Drosophila melanogaster: one gene and its partner. The protein of the gene in region 1 interacts with the protein of each later gene in a pairwise test. Each region holds a gene or a part of one and is shown on either strand. Other genes may lie near its edges.

Region 1 (6,146 bases):
CAAATCTAAATTTATTTTAAACAAAATAAAGCGGATGATCTTGCAGATCTATTTTTATCTAGGACTAAAACTCGATCTTTCAGTGAATCTAACAAACAGTCAGCGTGAGTGATTTCTTTATAGCTCATTGTGATCTCTGCTGATGTTTCTGGCAAGATGTGCATATGCACTCATTCATTCAAAAGAAATTGAGACTGATGGTCAATCACATGGCTTTGATTGATAGGCGCTCTAAGAGTTCGATTGCAATTGACTCCAGCAAAATAAGATGAAAACAGAGTGGTGCCCCACATTTCTACCCCATCTGACTGCAGTCCCAGCTTTTCTCTGTATATCCTGGGGAAAATTTTCTCAATGAGCTGTGCACTCGACAATTATTCGCACGCATTTCATCATCGTCAGCCACAGAGGCACATCAGCAGCAACCTCAGCACATCGCCAACATTGAATGCCAAAGAATCTTATAGCGCATAGCCCATATCCCCCATATTCCCCCAATGGACTATTTGTGGTTGGGACTGGTGCCTCTTTGAACTCGCCCAATGCATTTTTCATCCGATTCGGTTTGGGATTTCTGCCGAGTCTATTTCATTTTCAATTAAATGGCGCTGTTGCACGCGCTTTTCAATTAATTTGGACGTGTAAACAGATTCATTTCGATTATTTCAACATCTGCCTTCTAATCTCGGCCGCAGCGCATTAGACGATTGCCCTCGTCCATCGAGACACACGTTGAGTTTTCCTCGTATATAATGAAAATTGCGGGGGCCCCGACCACTTTGCCCTTTCCTAATTGAGGATGGCCGGTTGGTTTGTGGGGGGCTGTGGGTTGGCGGTTTTTGTGCACTACATCTTTGAGGATCAGACACCCATTTAAAATTGCAAAATTCGTGTTGCCAGTTTTCAGATTTTTGGCAAACTCAAACGTTTTGGGTTAATTATTGCAAATTACATTTAATGACGAGATAAAATGCTGTTGAACCCAATACTTACAGCAAATGTGCTAAACTAAATTATAAATTATTGTGTATTCATTGATGAAACTTAATCGAATCCCACTTAGCTTAGCCCTATATGAACTACCATGACTGTAGTGGAATTCGCCCATGAAAATACTTTTCAGGAATTTCTCGATGTAAATCACTTCAAATAGGGGGCTCTTCCCAAGTGGCTCCCATCCCGGCGAATGACAACTATCCGGGAATAAAAAATAATATTATTACATTTCCAGGCGCCCGCCCAATGTGAAGAATTGGCGAGCGAGCGAGAGGGAGTGAGGAAGAAAGAAAGACAGACAGTCTCGGCTAATTGTTTTCGCTCAGTGAAATGGAATGCCAAACACACAAATAGCCAACAATGTGCAAAACAAGCAAACGGAGACACTCAGCCGGAGGAGAAAAAGAGTGGAGGATCGTGATGGTGTGGATGTGGATGGGCCTATGGATCTTCTCTGGAATGACTTCGCCATGTGTACTTTGTTCACCGCCGATTCCAGCGGAGTGCTGCACTTCTGACAGCATTATTATGCGGTCTCAATTAGGAGATTGCAGAATCTCGGAGTCTGCAGATCAGGAGCAGGATGCGCTATAATGCGCCTGTCTGTCAGTAGCCACAGCCCATTAAGAACGACCAGGAAAGCCATCCACTCACAAAGTATTTAGACTGTGACCCCAGATGATTCGAAGTGGCGACTGAATATTCGCTTGCCAGACAAATGATTTATTTTTAAATACGTTTTCTATTGTAGTTTGCTCTGACGAAAGTGTCGAAAATGCGTTTCGGGAAACTCAACTATGTGGAGATCGGCGCTTAAAAGGATAATGAAATATTCAACCCCAGAAAGTCGTTCAAACATAAATTTCCAAACAAATTAAATTAGTTAATCTGAAAATTATAGTGATTATAACCAATTTATGAGTTATAATCAATTCCGAGCTTATTCATTTTCGATATTTTCCGAATGTTTATTAATTTTTTTCGATATTTACATATATGTACTAAATCGAACCTTATTTTAAATAACTAAATCGCACTTTTTTTCGTAACAAATAATTATTCCCGTTTTTACTCCTCAGCCAATTCTATATTTAAAGCCAAACAAGTTCTTATACAGAAGGGCTACCAATTCACGAAGATCAACAATTTTACCAAGTATTCAAAGATCTAACCAACTGCCAAATTGCTATTCTATTTGGGACTAGTCTTTCTTTTTTATCCTTGGCGCCGATTCCAAATGTGTTATCTATACTGATTATCATCTCGATCCGTTTCCGGATCTTCAGTCAAATCAGTAGTTGGCGGTGGATCCGTTTCCGTATCTGGATCGGATTTCGTAAACTCATCCGGTTCAAGACTGCCCACAAGTCCCAGATCTTGGGTCTCTGGCTCAAATGGATCCCAACACGGAGCCTTCGGTGGTTCATTGATAATCGAATCACGCATGGCACGCATTCCCATCTCAAGGGCGCAGTCCATGGAATTTCTGTCAGGTGGTTCGCGGGTTAGAGGCCCATTGAAATGCACATAAATGTCTCCCTGGGCAGCCAAATCTAGTCCGTAGGTGGTTAGATCCTCACCAAAGACCAGCTGCGTGGCGCCCGGATCCGTTTGCGTAGTCCTCATGGCGGCCAGCAGCCCAATGATCCCAAATTGATCTGACAGCATCGTGGCCGGAATATTAGTGAATTTCCCATCGTCTGTACTACGTATTCCCGCGGCATTTGTGTTCGTTGAGGAGGAGGTAGATGCCACCTCGGGCTCCTGCAACACTGATTCATAAGAGGGCTGACCAAAAAGATCAGCAAACGTGGGCATCGACGGCTGGCGATCGTAGAGTTCCGGGAAGAGTTTGTAATCCGATTCGATTTCAGATTCTACGCTCGAAGTGCTGACGACTTCCGGTGGCTCTTCGCTGGGCGGATCCGGCAAGGGCGGTGGACGTTGTGGCTCTACCTTTTCTGCACTGGGTGCAGTCTCCTGTTTCTTCTTTCTCAGCGCTATCGAGGGATTCACCTTACATCGTGGACGTCGACGCCGTGTCATTTTTTATCTTTTTATCAAAAAATGTCCTTGACTTGTGTCTGTGTTCGAGTGTTGTGGGGGGCTTGGGTGGCAGTTGGGTGGACGGGTGAGTGTGCGTGGATAATCTCGGACTCAGATAGCTTGATTCATAAATCCTTATCTCGAAGCCTATTTGAGAAGCGCCTATCACCGCCTTCCTTTGTGCTACACTACAACAAATTTTGATCTGTTTTGATGAATAATTCAAATGAAAACTGATTGTGATCGCATTGTGTGTGACGAGTAGAGATATTTCTAATGAAATCAATAATCGAAACAATGTTTAATCATTACCGCTTTCGCTAATACATTATGAATATAAATTTAGTTATATGATAATATATACTTATTTTTTTTGAATATGAAGTTAAAAGCTTTAGTTATATTTGCAACTTTATTGTTTCTCCATTACCGTTCCCCTACTTTCTCCCCTCACAAACAAATTGCATGAGTATTCACACTTTGTTAATTAATTAGGTGGTGCGTGCTCTCACCGGAGAACTTTCAACTTTATGCTTGTCATAAATATTTACAACTTCCTTCTGGCCATAAAAATCCTACACAAAGTACCAACTCCAATGAGGAAAAAAGAGACTGCGTCAACGTGAACGAAACAGAAATCATTTTGCTTTACTCCCAACATTTTTAGAAACATTCTATATATAATTGGAGAAATGACTCGGGAGAAGATGAAGTGGTAGATGTGCGTGGGATGGGGTGGAAACTTGTTGTTTGCCGCCCATAAATTGATCAGTTTATTAGATTCTAAGACCCGAAAAATATTTAATTGATTTATGCTCAATGAGTCAAAAGTCAGGCTAAAGTCATAAACTGGATGCCTGGGAACAAAAGGATATAATGAGTTGAACATAAAGGGGATTAGTAGAAAGCGATTTGGAAGTTTGGGAATGACAACCGAAATTAAGTGTATTTATATTATAGGATAGATATAGAAATAATGCACTTTTTATATAAAAGTTCACAAGTATCACATGATGTCGAACGGGTTAATAATATAAATAAATATGATGATAAGTTCAATAAATAACACAAAATGTTTACTTGGGAACTGTCAGTCATTGGTCAGTATCAATAATGAATCTGCCATAAAGTATGTCAAATAACTCAAAATTAATTCCTTTGACAACTGTGCATATACGCAAATACTAACATAAATCAAGTTAAATAGGTTTAAAATTCGGAACTTAACCTGCTTTGCCAAAGTAAAAGCCATTTATTCATGCATTGGTTTGCTATTCAAACACAACAATTCGTTCATTCAGTAGCCACACCTCGGCCATAATTTGTGCTATTTGTGTGGATAGGAAATTAGAACAATCAACTAGACACAAATCCCAACCAAAAAACCAGACAATGAGCAAATTTGTATCTAAATTGTTTATCAATGGATCTGGAGCCCACACCACATCGAGAGCGAACATTCAGATACATTTTATCTGCCATATAAAACGTATACGTATGTATCTGCGAAATACTCTTGTGTGTGGGGTAAGGCAACAAATTAGAAATAAACAAAATCCGTGGATGCGAAGAATTGCAAAAAGGCACAGAGCGAAGATACAAAGATCGAGATACACACTATATAGTACGAGTAGGTATTATGCAGATACAGATACGGATAGTTGGCGCTGCATTAACTAGTACTTACATAACTGCGGTAGGACGACATTACGTTGCTCTTGGCAAGCGATCCTCGATCGCAGATCGGATCAAAATTCGGTCACAATGTATGTTTATCGCCCTTTCAAAATTGGTGTATAATTTATTTTGGTATGGCCTGGGTTTGGTAATCCAATCTGGCAAACACTCGCGCGAGATCGAAACGGAGGAACTCGAACCGCTGACGACAATTACGAAAACGTATCTGCCGGATGCCGACTCTCAATTGCAATAGATGCAAAATAAATTAGATGCACTTACTGAAATCGCGCGCGTGCGACAAATTTCTACGACACTCTCTCTGCATTCCCCTATTTTATTCAATTTTATTTTATTGTATTTATTTCTTTTCTGCTAAGTAAACTATTATTTCCTTTGCTTTTATTTGCGCTGGGCGATACTCCGAGATCGGTATCGGGATCGGCCGTGTGTCACTTTACATAATCCACCGGCACGCACCGGGCAGGTTTGGGATATATACTGTCGATGCCTATAGGGCATACGAGCAGATATAGACTATAGCGCCCCGATCTATTTGGGAATGCAGCCGGCGAATGCGACAGAATCGGACGCGAGGCTCGCGCTTTATTTATGCGTTGATATTTTTCTTATTTTTCTTATTTTTTCCTATTTTCCCATTTTCCATCGCCTGCGTTTTCCGTTTCACGACGACGGACGCGTATCACTTTTGCTTTTATTTCAATTTACTTTGGGAGCAGCACAACTTAAGCTGTTATTTATAAATTTAGCAACATTCACACACTCGCTGAAAGATTGTGTCGCGATTTTTGTTTTTAGTTCTCGGTTCTTTTTGTTGGACCACAGCGAATCCGGCCGAGAGGAAAATCATGTGCGACTCGGCGCGTTGTCAAAGGAAAACTGTCTGGCCGCAGTGAAAATATTTTTGTGCCGAGATTTTCCCTCGCACCGAATTGCGTGAAAAGCTGAGTGGAGGAAAATCTCCGGCGCTCTCGCTTTGAGTATGCGTGTATTTTCGGCAAGCGAGAGATTCGATCGGAGATGAAGCTCTCGGAGATTCTGCCGGCTCTCCTCAGTCGGCGATCGCATTCGTAAATTGCAATCGAGAAACAAATAAATGTTTTAAACATACCCTGAATGAGGGTATCATTATTAGTTCCAGCATAACTTTAAGGATTTCGACAGATCCTTTGTACGGACAATTCATTCCGATTCTCTCTTGAACGGACAAGCATTTTTCTGGGTCGTGCTAAACGGACAAGTAAAATATAAAATATAACAAAACAACCTAATTATTACAATAGAACTAAAAGTAAATTAACGAAATAATATGTATTTCTAAAATTAACTACTTAGAGCATTTGAAATTAAGTTTTACAAGAGTTCGAAATACATTGTGCAACTTTTGGCCACAAAGAAAACCATAG
Region 2 (7,578 bases), 5.0 Mb from region 1:
GGTGGTGGGCAGGGTGCAACATATTGCATATTGCACATTGCACATGTGGAACGACGCGGGCAACTTGCAACGTCAGCAGGCGCATATTAAAAAAAAAATATGAGGAAAAAGCTTCAACAAAGAGCGACTCTCCCCCTCTCGCTCGCTCGCAGTCTCCGTCTCTCTTCCACTCGCCTTGTGGCAAGTTCATTGAACCTCATTTACAGTTCAGTAGTTTAGCGATTTTATTCTCATGAGAAAGAGACGGCAGCAGCGTGGGCTAGAAAGAGATGCACCCACTGAGAGGGAGGCCCGACTTTTATTTTTGGGGCAACTCTGGCTTTGCAAAAAAAAATTTAAAACAAATCTTATAAAAGCACACAATGTTAAAGTATCGCAAAAAAATGTAGATTATTATTTTAATTATTCCTTTATTAAACTAGTATACTTAAATGATCCGAAAGAAGTCAAGAAATGCCTAAATGATAATGGTAATTTTGCAATTTAGTACTAGAAATGTAGTTCAAGTTATGGGAACATCCGGTTTAGGGAGTTTCGCCTGTAAAGCCAAACAATGGGCTGCGAAAAAAAAAAAATCGAAATAAATGTGAGACCAGAAAGGAAAGCGTTGGGAACCAAATAGTAACAAAAACTAATGCGATTTGCGGCAGCAACAAAAAAAAGCCTCTCGGATTCATGGATTTTTCGTTTGAGAGGCGCCGCCGCCAGCCAAAAGCAATCAAATCCAATTAAATGCGAAAAAAAATCCTGAAAAAAACGCACAGATAAAAACGGTGGAAGCAGAACTTTTGTGTACAACAAAAAATATTGTTTATGTAAAAGCAGCAGCGTAAAAAAAACAAAAATATACCAATAACAACTTCCAGCACACGCGACTTTAAACAACAAATTTGTCGAACGCCGCAAGAAAATTTCAATGAACGAAGGAAAGGGGGGCAGAGATGGAGGAAGTACGGAGGCAGCAACAAACAGAAAAGGCAACAAAAACCGAAACAGCAGCAATGGCAAAACCAACAACAATCAGCTCTTTTGACCAGCAGCTGTCGCACAGTGGGATGCACAGTGGGCAATTAGGGGTGGATTAGCTATCAGGTGCAGAAATGGTTTGTTTAAGCTACAGAAAAATTCCTTTTTAAATGCCAATCTGCTAATATTAAATTGGGAAAATATTGCGATTGTGCACAGTAATACCTCCAATTGTCATACAACCCATTCCACTGTGCCCATGCAGCACAGTCCACAAGCACAAGTGTTCGGGGTTGCTGCTAATGGAACGCAATTCACAATTCACTGGGAATTCGCTATCTCTGTCTGCAGCACCCCTCTTTGTCGCTCCCCAGTAGCTCCGTCTCTTTCCGACGTTGCAACGACAATGGCAGCAACAAAAGCAAAACAGCGGCAGACAGCAAAAACCAATGGACAAAAACACAAACAAAACGGTGGACAAGAGTCGTCATCCTCCGCTGTTTTTGTTGTTTCGGCAAAACTTCTTTATCCCGGAGAAGGGAAAGAGATGGGCATATGAAGGGAGAAAGAGAGGGTGACAGAACGTTCGCATAAATTTAAAATTGCGCGCAAACGGCGCCCACAAAGCCAAACACCACAGTATGCAATTATCTAAGGAATTTTTAGTAAACTACATGGTAAACTGACGGGGATTCCAAAAATTTTTTATTTTAGTTGCTCAGCATGGTCACACTGTGCATTTCGGTTGAGTCAGCTGACTATAACAGCTGATGCTCTACAGTAAACAAAGAATTTGGAATCTCGAAAAATGTCCTGTTGTTTATAATTACACAATATTTCAATTTGTGTTTAATAGCTGGGTAATCCCAGAATAAACTAAGTGTAGTTTTTGTCTTGACTTCTTTTCTTATGACAGCCTTAGTTTCAATTAGGCAAGCACCACTGTCCGAAAACAACAAGGAAAGGCAATAAAAGGGAGCAGAGAATGCGTTTTGGGGGTTGCTGGATGCTGCAAAGGGGGGTGCTTCACAAAAGGGCCTGCCACTGCTGTGGGTGTGGGGGGGGGTCGAAAGTCGTCGCAAAGTGGAGTAAACTGAAGTCTGGAGCACAACAAAAAGCAGTAAAGGCGGCGGCAGAGGAAAATCCTAGGAGAGGGTGCGAAATCTCGCAGTATACACACCACTACCAGACTTTTCCTATACACATCTATGTACATACATATACAAATGGGTGGCACAACAAAAAAACGGAAGAAAAGCGAAGGAATCTGTCTAGACAACATTGTAAGTAGATAAAAATATTTGGTCGGAAAAATCGGGCGAGGAAATAATGAAATATGTAATTTCCTACACCGTACACCCATCTCTTTCTTTCCCCGCCTATCACTACTACCACTATCTCTTTCCGGCAGGTAATACCTTTTTTGATAAGGAAGCAATTGTAGCACATTTCTCTGCTATTTTTTTCAATTGCACCATCATTAAAATTGTGTTACGGATAAGATAACACAAGTTGGCGCTATATTTTCTTCACATATTTCCCACTTTTCGTGTGAAAATTCCATTTAGCGAGGCAGCGTGCCCCGTACACGCTGAATGAATTAATTTATTCATATTCAACATATTTATGCATTTGTGTAAACAAAAAGCAGGTGCCCGAAATTACTGTAAAGCGGTTATTGTTTACGCAAATGTTTGAATTAAGGAAAGAGAGAGTGAGACAGGTAACTGCTTATTTTTTTGACTGGTTTATTGTTATTTTCTGTTTATACTATTTTTATGACCGCTCTTTCCGCTTTTTTCAAATTCTTTTGTTATTGATTTCACTTTTCTGGATGGTTTTTTAAATACTTGAGATACAGTGGAGCTTTAAAATGGATAACTATTTATTTAAACTTTCTAGCACTTCAAATGATATGAGCATATGAGTTAATTATCTAAAGTAATTTTTAAAAGTTGTTTTCTAAATTAAATAATATAATGATATGATCAGATAATAGCTTCCTTCTTTACTGAGCGTTCACTGTGATCGAATTCACATGAAAGTATTTTTTTTCTTTGCACCTTGCGTATTTTGTTTTGCATCACCTGTCGCAGCTGATTTTTCATTCACACTATTTGTTTATCTACGATTATTATTTTTTTAGCTGCTCGTTAGCTGGTGAAATTCCCATAGAAAATTCATTAAAACCCAGCAAAGGAATTTTAGTTTTAGTTTCTCAGAGAGAATTCGATTGTTCGCTGGTGTGAGTGTGAGTGTTTTGTATGTGTGTGTTTAGTGTGTGAAGAGAGAAGTTGTAAAACCGGATTTTCCTTTTGGGCGCTTTCGTAGTTTTGTTGCCTTTTGCACTTTGCCTCGATCTTCGATTTTTAATAGCCACTTAAATTCGATATTGGGCTGTTAAAAAGTTACAACAATTTTCCTTTCTGCATTTTCTCTGCTTTTATTTTCTTTTCTCTGCTCTTGCATTTTGCACATCACTTGCTTTGCACTTACACTTGTTGATTATTTAATGTGCAATATTTTTATTGCGTTTACTTGCACTTTTTCGTATTCTTTACTCTTCTCAGCTGCTTTTCACTAATAATTTATTTAAATCAAACTGAAGCACGCACACAGCTGCACGTAGTTACGCACACACACGCACGCATACACTAAAAACGCCAAACGACGCGCCGGAAAAAACAACAAAAAGAACAACAACGAAGAGAGCGGCGAAACAACAAAAATCAAACGTTTCAAAATTCTCTTTCGCTTTGCACCGCGAAATTAAATCAAATCGAAACTTAAAAGATTGCCAATGCGATTTTGACCTAATGTTTATTGTGTTTTTTTTCTATTTCGAAGCGAGCGCGACGCTGTTTTTCCGACTTTACGATCCCCAATTGGCGTTCGATGTGCGTTCGTCTGCTCTCAAAAAAATTGTGACAAAAAATTGTTTATATGCCGCAGTGTGGCCAGCTGCTTAGCGGCCGATAAGGCCGAATTTGCACCGTTTCGCGGCATTTGTCGGCAGCGCGGTCACACTCGAGAAGAGAGCGGCTGGAAATTCAAAATTTAATTTGGCGCCAAACTCGATTTTATATCTATTAATAAATTTCTTGATAACATATCGTATTTACACGTGGCTATATAAACAGCATCGAAATATTATTACAAAGATAATATAGTTGTATCTTTGTTTTTAATCGAAATGGTCAATCTTTTTCAATATGATAAATATTTGGTTAATCATTAAGTCATATAAATCAAATTAATAAACGACGTTGAATCAAGTGACGAGTGAACTTCGTCTGCCTTTCATTTCACATTCACAGCAGTTGATTATAGGAACTCAAATTGAATTAGATTTGCCCATTGATTTGCATTTCGCACCCACAAATTCCGCCACCCGATGATAATTGCCAATTTGGGTGGAAAGCCGCCTCCTCTGGCGAGCTGGAAAATGTCGAAAAACTATTGAAAATCAATTTGCATTCCGCACCAGAAACATCCAAATAATGCGATACTAATTCCCCTCTCGAAAACTTTAATACCTCAAAATCCAATGAGGCAATCGGCAAATGAAAATCTTTTCGAGGGAAGCGAAAGAAAAACAAGAAGCAACCGCACTTCAAAAGCAATTTCACCTTGTTTTTCCAAAAACAAATACACACTGAACCAAAATTCAATTCACTAAACAATGGCGCAAGGCAAATCTCTTTTCGGCCATATATAACTTTTCGGTAAGGAATTTCCCAAACTGCTCTTCAAGAATTTTCACGAGTGGTGGCGTCTCCTATTTTTAGGCCCACTACAAAAACACCCTACAGTGAGCGCTCGGAAAAGTGAACTTTTAGTATAATCTTATATATAATAATATATAGAAGAACTAAATGGTAGATTTTCCCAAATTTTACTTTGAATTTGATAAGGAGTTTGAATTATTTTCTAGTTAGTTATATTAAGTCAAGTAAGTATTTACCTCATATATAGTTACAAATATTTATATACATAGTAAATATGTATATTTATATATGGCAAGTACTATTTTTATAAAACAGGAAACGGAAGTATCTTTCGCTCTAGTTGAAAATATTTAATGAGAGCTAAATATATAAATACGAAAAGGGGGGCATGGCAGGGGGAAAACTCAGCGCTGGAATTTTGTTGTTGCTCCAGAAATGCCGGCAAATGAAAAGCGCAGGTCCGCAAATGAAAAACAGAATGGAAAATTCAAAGAGAGAAAATTTTCAGGGAGAGAGCACAACAATAGCAGTTTGAGAGGCGCCGCAAGTTTGCGAAGCACTGCTTCAAGCAGTGCAATATTTACTGTTTATCGCATGCGAGAAATTTCTCGCCGATGTTTTGTGTGACTCCAAAACTATACGAAGAAAATTAATTTTGTAAATGATCGTTCAAATATATTTACGAACTTAATATTTAAAGAGACAATTTATAAGATTCAAATATTATGTTTAAATGTTTTCATTATTTATGGATAAATAAATTGGAAATCATATTTGCACATTATATTTTTATAAACAAATGGAGTTTGTGCTTAACTCATTTATGGTATCCAACATCTTTGGTAATACTATTTTAAAATAGTATTGTGCTTTTGAGTTCTCCCAACAGTTCAGCGTTTTATTCAATCGTCAAGGAAAGTTTTCCACCCACCGGAATAAAATTCCACTTCATTCCGAGCGAACAATTCGTCTTCAATGTCAGTTTTTCCTCGATTTCCCCGCCCATTTTCCCCGAACTTCTTATCCTTCAGCAAAATTAACTTGAGAATCTTGATAAAAGGGCTGCCATTCATTCATTCAGCAGCTTTGCCGAAAACTGTTCTCAATGCCAGAAGCTGCCAACTTAATTTATATTGTATTTAAAATGCAAAATGCACAGCATTCAACAATGGGCGAGAGCAAAGAAAGTGGGCGCTCTTGGGAAAGTGGGCGGGGCACAGCTGAAAAGCTGCTAAAATTTAACAACTTGACAAATTGAATGTTTGTGGAGTGGGCAAAGCGTAACAGCAAAGAAGGCGCCAAACTGAAACAAAATTTCTATTTTCAATCTAAACACTAAAATTCTATTTTCACTTTTGATTAATTTAAAGCAAATGTTTCTATATCCTTGAGTATTATTCGTGATCAGACTATAAGTTTTGAGCAGTGTAAACACAATCAGCTGCATCTAAACAATAGGAACAGCAATGCAAAGGGCTAAGAAAAATGAGGCTCACATAGCCAAGTAGCCAAGGCAACCCGTTTCTCTGAGGTCTTCGCTGTGGAATTCCTCTTGGAATTTTCTATTTCGGAGCTGCGCAAGGAATCTCTGGCAGTCATAACGATAATTGACAATCTGGCCAACACAAATTAACATTGCCAGAGGTCAAATTGCATTTGCTCAGGGAATTTTTCTGATTGCTTCCGTTTTTATTTTTTATTTTTTTTCTCCAAAAACATCTAGCAAAAAACATACATAGGTAAACAAAAGCGCTATTAAGAATGCAGTGCACGCAGCGCAAAGCGGCCATAAAGACGTTTGGGCCAAATTAAAACGGGCCAGAAACGTAGTAGGAAAAAAAAACAATACTACAGCAAATGAGCAAACGTGCCAGGGTCAAGAGTGACCTCTAACCCACCGCCCACCGCCCCTTTTCGTGGGCCGCCCACCAAAGCCGATAGTGAAGCCAAAAGTCCACTTAGGTTTTACTATAAAAGCCAGGGCTTCTGCGTTTGTTTAATCATATCAGTTTCTGTTCAATCAGCGGATATACCACCAAAATCAATCAATTCAAGATGTTCAAGTTTGTGAGTATTTAAAGGGATATCAAGTAAATACCTATGAAGGATACAAGTATCTGACAAAAGTGAATTCTGAAATAATGCAATCAGAGGTTCTATTAAGCTCCTTTCAAGTCACAACATAAGATCTATTTGAATCTAAGGAGTTTTATTGTTGTGGCAGCTCCAAAAGACTGTAATTATTTCCTTGGCTAATGAAATCCCCCCTCACCCTTTTCACCCAACTTTTCTAACCAGTTCGCTCTGTGCCTGTTCGCCCTGTTGGCCGTTGCCTGTGGCAAGCCGCAATTCCTGACCGCCTACAGTGCGGCCTCGCCTGTGGTTGCTGCCACGCCCTACGCCTACTCGGGCGGACTCTACGCACCCACGTACAGTGCTGCCTACACCAGCGGCGTCTATGCCGCCACGCCCTACGCCTACGGAGCCTATCCCTACAGCTCGCTGTACCTGAGACGCTGAAGTTCCCACACCATCGAATGCACACTGTACAACGATAATTCCCGATGACGTCGAACTAATGAACAAATAAACCTGATAAAACAGATAAAGATTCGCATACCAAAGGCCAGCTATTTGCTGTCATTTGCTTGGAGCAACTGCAGATTAAAAGGGGCTGCAAAATGAAAGTGGCATTGGCTCTACACTCGCAGAAAAACACTTGTTAAATAATTGAAAAAAAAAAAATTAAACATACATAGCCATTGATTATCGAAATATTTGCTTATATTCAATTGGGTTTTCACATTGGTGATATATGAAAGCTTTCTTTTGTTATAAAAAAAGAAAACATTCTGATAGTTTTTCGCTCAGTGCACAGTGCTTG

What was found. Proteins that work in one complex are often made in the same cells at the same time.
Region 2: the proteins of CG6576 (region 1) and CG32264 interact in a two-hybrid assay, tested with the Drosophila melanogaster proteins (one large-scale study listed by BioGRID).

The regions. Positions count from the first base shown.
Region 1 is NT_037436.4:8,753,079-8,759,224, reverse strand, and holds CG6576 (uncharacterized protein), read right to left. Parts: upstream 3,237-6,146; 5' UTR 3,043-3,236; coding exon 2,239-3,042; 3' UTR 2,058-2,238; downstream 1-2,057. Other genes in the region: Fhos (formin homology 2 domain containing), read right to left, coding at 4,730-4,750.
Region 2 is NT_037436.4:3,784,095-3,791,672, forward strand, and holds the start of CG32264 (uncharacterized protein), read right to left. Parts: upstream 3,867-7,578; 5' UTR 3,463-3,866; intron 1-3,462. Other genes in the region: CG32266 (uncharacterized protein), read left to right, coding at 6,750-6,761, 6,993-7,214.